Linked DNA regions of Canis lupus familiaris. The protein of the gene in region 1 binds, or shares a complex with, the protein of each later gene. Links are inferred from orthologs where the notes say so. Each region holds a gene or a part of one and is shown on either strand. Other genes may lie near its edges.

The links. The genes of interacting proteins can lie anywhere in the genome.
Region 2: the proteins of RANGAP1 (region 1) and SENP2 are in contact, whole or in part, in a crystal structure (PDB 2IO3), measured with the Homo sapiens proteins. The link is inferred for Canis lupus familiaris from reciprocal best matches to the Homo sapiens genes RANGAP1 and SENP2. Residues at the interface, in NP_001265580.1 of Homo sapiens: Glu467, Asn508, Thr511, Thr514, Arg515, Val518, His519, Leu523, Lys524, Ser525, Glu526, Asp527, Val529; in NP_067640.2 of Homo sapiens: Tyr408, His409, Trp410, Val477, His478, Asp495, Met497, Gly498, Gln499, Lys500, Pro536, His537, Gln541, Gln542, Asn544, Gly545.

The regions. Positions count from the first base shown.
Region 1 is NC_049231.1:24,911,581-24,915,776, reverse strand, and holds the start of RANGAP1 (ran GTPase-activating protein 1), read right to left. Parts: upstream 2,819-4,196; 5' UTR 2,709-2,818; coding exon 2,624-2,708; intron 2,243-2,623; coding exon 2,093-2,242; intron 1-2,092. UniProt on the Homo sapiens protein: GTPase activator for RAN. Converts cytoplasmic GTP-bound RAN to GDP-bound RAN, which is essential for RAN-mediated nuclear import and export. Mediates dissociation of cargo from nuclear export complexes containing XPO1, RAN and RANBP2 after nuclear export.
Region 2 is NC_049255.1:18,502,566-18,506,214, reverse strand, and holds part of SENP2 (sentrin-specific protease 2), read right to left. Parts: intron 3,632-3,649; coding exon 3,498-3,631; intron 3,087-3,497; coding exon 3,020-3,086; intron 1,267-3,019; coding exon 1,176-1,266; intron 1-1,175. UniProt on the Homo sapiens protein: Protease that catalyzes two essential functions in the SUMO pathway.

The sequences.
Region 1 (4,196 bases):
AGGCCTTGCCCTCTCCTGACTATGCCAGCTCACTGCCAGCCAAGGTGGAGGCCCTTTCTGGGCCCAGGGTCCAGCTGCCAGACTCCTCCACACTACATTCAAGGCTGTCTGCACTGGGCTCCCTATGGCACCCTGATTCCTTCTCGCCCAAGCCCACCCTATGTGTCTCAGCTCCTCCCCTCACATGATACTCCCTGCGTCTACTGCCCTCTCCCCTACAATGACAGTTCAACCACCTTATCCATGGGGACTTCCGGGGCCCTCCTAAACCAGAAATGATCCCTTTCCCTTGCCGTATTTCCCACAGCTTTCTGTTCACGTTGCTCAGAGTATGCTTCACCTTCTACCCCCTGGCAGTTGAGTACCTCCTTCCTACTCCATCTTAGGAGGTCCTCAGAGGCCGGGGCTATAAGCTGGGCATCCCTGGTGACCAAGAAAATGGAGGCAACATGTCCAGCCTGAGCTGGTTAATTAGTGATCTGCACAGATTTTAAAGCTAGACAAGCTTGAGCTCTAATCCTAGCTCCATTACCTGTATCTGTGCCCTTAGGCAAGTCCTATTATTTCCCAGGGCTTCACTTTTCCAATCTACAAAATGGGGATGAGACCTACCTCAAGGACTTTTGTGAGGATAAACTTCCTTAAGTCAGGCACTTAAAGAATGCCTGACTCAGCATTCAGGGAATGGAATTTAATAGCAAATTCAGGGGATCCCTGGGTGGCTGAGCGGTTTAGCACCTGCCTTTGGCCCAGGGCATGATCCTGGAATCCCAGGATCGAGTCCCATCAAGCATCGAGCTCCTTGCATGGAGCCTGCTTCTCCCTCTACCTGTGTCTCTGCCTCTCCCTCTCCCTCTCTGTCTCTCGTGAATAAATAAAATCTTAAAAAAAGGGGGATCCCTGGGTGGCTCAGCGGTTTAACGCCTGCCTTTGGCCCGGGGCGCGATCCTGGGGCCCTGGGATCAAGTCCCACATCGGCTCCCGGCATAGAGCCTGCTTCTCCCTCCTCCTGTGTCTCTGCCTCTCTCCCTCTCTCTCTCTCTCTCTCTCTCATGAATACATAATATTTTTTTTTTTTTTTAAATCTTAAAAAAAAAAAAGCAAATTCATCTTTACTGAACTGAGCTGTCTACTGACAAACACAAGAATAGGGACTTAGCTGGACCTCTGTTAAAATCCCAGCTCTGCTACTTACCAGCTAGATGACCTTGGACAAGTTAGGTCTTCCAAATCTCTTCTCCTTATTTATAAAATGGTAACATTTCTACATCCCCCCCTCAGGGATGACGTGTGATCGGAAGTGATAACAGCACAGGGAGGGACTCTGTAAATGTTAAGGCCCTTCAGAGACATCAGGAATGTGCACTGCCATGCTCCTGACAACCTGAGAACTCCAGTTTCTGAGGCAGGGCAGGTGAGCAAGCTTGCCTGCAATCCATGACAACCGGGCAAGTCCATACCAGTTTCCCTGGTTGGGCCAGAACCTCAAGAGTCCTTGCAAGTGCTGGCGTAGGTGCCTTCACTTCCAAACGTCAGGGGATTCAGGGTTGACCAGTGTTAGCCATGCTTTGGCCAGGGATGAACAGACAAGGCCTGCATTCTGCTTCCTAATTCCCTACAGTCCTGGTTCCTAGGACAAGAACATCCCTCCCTCTTCCAGGGGCATTCAGTTGCACGGACCAGACCTCCCAAGAGGGCCTTACCTCTGGGAAAGCCAACCAGTATTCCCAAAACCAGTCTGGGATCATAGTGGTAAAGGTGGGAAGTAAGAAGTCAGGGACTATACCCTGACACTGCTGTTGTGATCCTTTGTTGTTTACTATCTCCTCCCACTAAGACATAAAGTGGCCCTTTCCACCAGCCAACCTAAGCTGTCACCAGCAAGGATGGCCTCCAAAAACATGATGACTAGCAGGGAAGCCTATATATGTCCTTGTGGGCACATCTTTGAGCCTCACTCTAAAAGGGACCCAAAACTATCTCACAGAGCTACTAGGTAACAAACAACGTGATAATGTAGCTAAACAAGCTGGAACAAGAGTCATTGGCACACACTCTTTCCTCCCCTGGGCCAGCCCAAGCAGGAACTCACCATCTTCCGCAGTGTTGAGTTTGAGGCTCTTGCCCTTGAAACTCAGCTGACCCCCAGCCACCTGGGTTTTGGCAAGTGTCTCTGCTAGCTTGGCAATGTCTTCAGAGGCCATGCTGGCCACGTTGCTGGGCTCCCCCGGAAATCTGCAAACTGAGCAGGATGAAGTTTCATTAAGAGACAGGAGTCTCCTGGGGCCCCCTGGTTGGGGAGGGCCGGGTAGGACATCAGCCCTTTCAGGGGCTTAACACCCCCTCCTCCATGGAGACTCCAACAGCTAAACTACTGGGAGAAATGAAAACACTATTAGGTAAGGAACAATTCTAGAAAGGTGGAGAAAGTGGCAAGAGTAGTAAAATCATGTTTTAGCCCCTGAAGGATTACTAGCTTATTTTAACTCCTCGCCTGCCCCAATGGCCCCAGCTGGAACACCAAGCACAGCCATCTGAGCTGCCCATCTTCTGGGCTCCCAGTGAATGGTAGTTGGGCCCAGACCAACAGCTGCAATGCAAAGAGCCTACTCCAGGCACACACCTGCCTGATCATCCTGGCTGCTCTCTGTTTGAGGGTCCCATTCCTCAAACAGGACTAGGATGGCTAAGGGATCCAGGTTATCCATCCCGCGAAATGCCCCACCTCCCACGCTGGCATGTCTCTGGGGATGGGGCACAGGTGTCAGCCCACTGCCCGTCTGGTTTCAACCTTAGCCAGAAGACTGGGCAATCCATGGTGGCCAAACCTCAGGGGTTCCTAGGAGACCAGAGGTCTCTACATCACAACAGCCACCATCACAATAGACCAAGGGCAGAGCTGCTGAAGAAAGGAGCTTCTGGCCTGGAAGAACTCGGCAGATTGGCAGAAAGACCACTCCATTTCCCTAAAGAGGAAATGGCAGGTCATCAGGGGAGACCAAGGATGATGGATATGGAAGACAGAACGAGGAAGGGCCCACAAAAACTCCTTACCCAGAACATGTCCTTCCCCAATCTATTCGTCCTCAAGATACAACTGTGATGGCTCCCCAATCCTCCAACTCCCCCCAGGCTTCCTCTGGGCTCCTATAGCCAGCCTCCCACCTCCTTCTCCTTATCTTAACCCTGATCACCCTGGCTTGCCAATTTTTACAAATATGTATGAATTATTCTCCTAGATAAGAAGGCACCACTCATTCATTCAATAAACATTTATTGGGTATTACTATGTTCTGGACGTTGCTCTAGATACCAGAACCAAGCAGTGAATGAAGCAAAAATACTGCCCTCTCTCTTTTTTATAAGATTTTATTTTTATTTATTTTTTAAGATTTTATTTTTTTAAGTAATCTCTATGCCCAACATGGGTCACAAACCCACAACTCTGAGATCGAGTCACATGTTCTACCAAATGAGCTAGCTGGGCACCTCTTAAAACATGTGTTCTAAATAAGACATGTGGAATCTTATTTGTGTAAGTGATAAGAAAAACAAACGGAGAAGGGGGTAAGGAGTTTTAAGGGGGTTGCGATTTATTTATTTATAAAGATTTTATTTATTCATGAGAGACATAGAAAGAGAGGCAGAGACGTAGGCAGAGGGAGAAGCAGGCTCCCTGTGGGAAGCCTGATGTGGGACTCGATCCCAGGACGTTGGGATCCTGGCATCACGCCCTGAGCCAAAGGCAGACGCTCAACCACTGAGCCACTCAGGTGCCCCGAGGGGGTTGCGATTTAAAACAGATTGGTCCAAAAATAAATAAATAAATAAAAATAAAAATAAAAATAAAACAGATTGGTTAGAGGGGCACCTGATGGCTCAGTTGGTTAAGTGTTCAACTATTGATCTCAGCTCTGGACTTGATATCAGGGTCATAAGTTCAAGCCCCATGCTGGGCTCCAGGATGGGCATAGTACCTAGGTTAAAAACAAACAAACAGGGCAGCCAGGGTGGCTCAGGGGGTTTAGCACTGCCTTCAGCCCAGGGCATGATCCTGGGGTCCCAGGATCAAGTCCCACATTGGGCTCCCTGCATGGAGCCTGTTTATCCCTTTGCCTTGTCTCTGCCTCTCTCTCTCTCTCTCATGAATAAATAAAATCTTTAAAAAACAAACAAACAAAAAGACCCACAATAAC
Region 2 (3,649 bases), on another chromosome or scaffold:
GCTCCACTCTTAGCATGGAGTCTGCTGGAGATTCTCTCTCTCTCATCCTCTCCTTTGCCCCTCCCCACTGCTTGTATGAGAATGCATAAATAAATAAATAATAAAATAATAAAATAAAATAAAATAAAATAAAATAAAATAAAATAAAATAAAATAAAATAAAATCCTTTAAAAAAATAAAACAGGGATGCCTGGGTGGCTCGATCCTGGAGTCCCGGGATGGAGTCCCATATCAGGCCCCTTGCATGCAGCCTGCTTCTCCTGTCTCTGTCTCTCTCTCTGCCTCTCTCTGTGTCTCTCATGAATAAGTAAATAAAATCTTAAAAAAAAATTAAAAATAAAACAAAGTTGTTTTTTTTTTAAGATTTATTTATTTATTATTTATGATAGACATAGAGAGAGAGAGGCAGAGACACAGGAGGAGGGAGAAGCAGGCTCCATGCTGGGAGCCCAACGTGGGACTCGATCCCGGGACTGTAGGATCGCGCCCTGGGCCAAAGGCAGGCGCTAAACCACTGAGCCACCCAGGGATCTCCCTAAAACAAAGTTTAGAAGTGAGCAACAAATCATTTTAAAAGGTTTTCAGGGATCCCTGGGTGGTGCAGCGGTTTAACGCCTGCCTTTGGCCCAGGGCGCGATCCTGGAGACCCGGGATCGAATCCCACGTCGGGCTTCCGGTGCATGGAGCCTGCTTCTCCCTCTGCCTGTGTCTCTGCCTCTCTCTCTCTCTCTCTCTGTGTGACTATCATAAATAAATAAAAATTAAAAAAAAAAAAGGTTTTCAAAATCTGATGCTGTATGAGGCGCCTGGATGGCTCAGTTGGTTAAGTGTCTGCTTTGGCTCAGGTCATGATCCCAAGGTCCTAGGATCGAGCCCCACATTGTACTCTCTGCTCAGCAGGCAGGTTGCTTCTCCCTCTCCTTCTGCCTGCCACTCCCCCTGCTTGTGTGCTCTCTTTCTGTCAAGTAAGTTAAAAAAAAAATCAGATACTATAAGCATATGCTATGGTATAGAGAAAGTAACACACACCTGAGTTCAAATTTTTCAATAGCTGTATGATATCTGGCAACTTACTAACCTCAGAGTACTTATTTAACAAGATTACATAATAGAACAAAAGAATGCCTAGCAAGAGCCAACACCTAATAAGTACTAAGTTTCCATTTACACTTACCCAAAGGAAGGCAGGACTCTTCGGGGCTGATCTCGGGTTACTGTCACTCTGATCTTTGGATAGTCACTTATTCCATTAGGGGATTTATTACCTATTTTAAAAATGCATTTGTAATTGTAAAAAAACAAAACAAAAACAAACCCAAACCTGTGAACAGTCTGCATTAGAAAATCTGTGAGTGGTCTATATTGTAGAACTAAATATCTTATTCTTTCACATGCCATTACTATACAACACAGAGATTCAACACTGTAAAAAGTTGAAGAAAAGCAATAGTGCTTTATCTGTATTTGATTTCAGGGAGACAGTAAAAATTCACAGGCAAGCTTTTCTAGTTTCACTTGCTGTAGCATCAAGAAGCATGAGGAACTCATGATTACAAACTCCATGTAATCAAATCAAATTGAGTGAGTTGTTCAAATCATTTCTTCTTCCCAAGAAAACAGGAGTTATTTTTAAATGAAAATCTGCTATATGTTACTACATTTCACTGGAAGCTTCCATCACTTATGAGACGGTCACTATACTTCAAAAAAGGGTAACCAAACTTTTATCAGCCACATTTACTGCTAGAGCTACTGCACAGGTATAGAGCTCCTGAGGACTCCAAAATGTAAAGAGATCTAAAACTGAAAGTTTTTCCATGAGTCTGTAGCAGCAAACTTAAACTGACCTGAATTCCTTTGTTTGCAAAACCTGATTTGAACCAATGTTCAATTCTAATGGGATTTTTAAAAATAATATTCAATAAACACGATATATATAAAATATGAAAAATTCTAAATTCCCCAGTACACCTTTAAGGATTTCAGATAAGAGACTGTAGACTTCTTTATGCAAGAAACGTGCCCCAGGAATACCTGTGCTTCTCTGACAAGGCTACATGAACACATAGAAATATAGTGCTGACAGCTTGGCACAAGACAAACGTACCATCCCTTCCATATGTCCATTTTAATAATAAATCATTTTTAACTATATATTCAAGCAATATGAATAGATTATAATATCTAATTTATATTAACTTTTAAAATAAAATGAAAAACTTCATAAAAGTATCATCCTGACTCCAGGTCCTTTGGAACTAGAGTCTCAGACTCAGGGGTGTGTGTTTACTCCCTTTTGCTCTTCTCTGCCACCAGAGATACTTTACTTAAAAAGCTTGAGAGGAAACTTACTACTGTAAAGTTTTTATCATTTCCTTAGTTTCTTCCATTTTTACTTCTGAACCCACAACTTTTCTAAAAGCTTTTATCCCTTTCTCTCAAACTTCATAAACCTGTGTGACAGAGATCACAGTCATTTTCTGGAGTCCAGATTCTTCCTCTTTTTCGCCATGATAGAATTTTAAGTTATGTATGGTTATGTACAATTATAATTCAGTTTTGGGCTCCAAGAATGACGTGGAGGCTCCCAATCCATAAAGCTATCAGAACTGAAAACCTAAAGTTGTTCCCCCATCAGATGATGTCCCTGAAAGACAGGGTTTATTTATTTTGTTATTTGTTTTGTATTTTGTTATAAAAGATTTTATTTATTATTTTGTCATTCTGTTATTCTTGATAACACATGCCTGACACAGAGTAAGCTCGCAGGAAATGTTTTTTTAATGAGTGAACCCTGAACTAAGTCACATTAAAGACAATGATAATACAAATAGAAAACACAAACAGTAAATTCAATGACAATTCTAAAGGAAAACTATTTAATTTTTAGAAGGTAGAGAGAATATGTCTGTGTTCTCAACACAACCCAAATGAGTGTTTTTCTTTCATATTCTCAAAACTCAGGAAACAGAGGCAAGAAGAGGTAGAGGAAAGCAGAAGGATCTCTGATCGCCTCACCCAGTTTCAGCATGTTGTTCCAGGGTCCAGAACCTGTCAGTTCACAAGACGATGAGTTCGAAAATACCTTAAAACCAAATAGAATCACCTCTGTAGTATCTCAATTTTAGAATTTAAATAAGTTTTTAATATTAAAAAAATCACTCTATTGGTGATGATTTCGCTAGCTCATGGAAGAGACATCATCAGTAGACCAAAAGTTAAATTGGTGAAGACTCACAAAATTATGTTTAAAATAACAATTTCAGGTTCTCTACAAATACTTAAGTAAGAACAGATGTATTACTAATTGAGCTCTTTATAAATATTTTTTAAATGTGTATTTTCTTAACCTTTAACTTCTTGGCCTTTATATCAAGGCTTATAAACATATCAAAGTCATTCTACTCAATTCCTAAAAAGAGAATATTTCTAAAATTTCACTTTAATGATTAAGTATGAAGATCAGTAGCCCCAATGGAACCCTATCCCCACTGACCTCTCCTGAAGGGGCCACATTCCGTGTTCCATTACAAGCAGAGGTTACCATGGGCTTTGTGGTCAGCTGGAATGGGAATCCAAATAAGCTGGCAGCATTGTAGAGACTGGTTTTGACTTGGTGAATGAAATAATCTAGACAATATAATATAG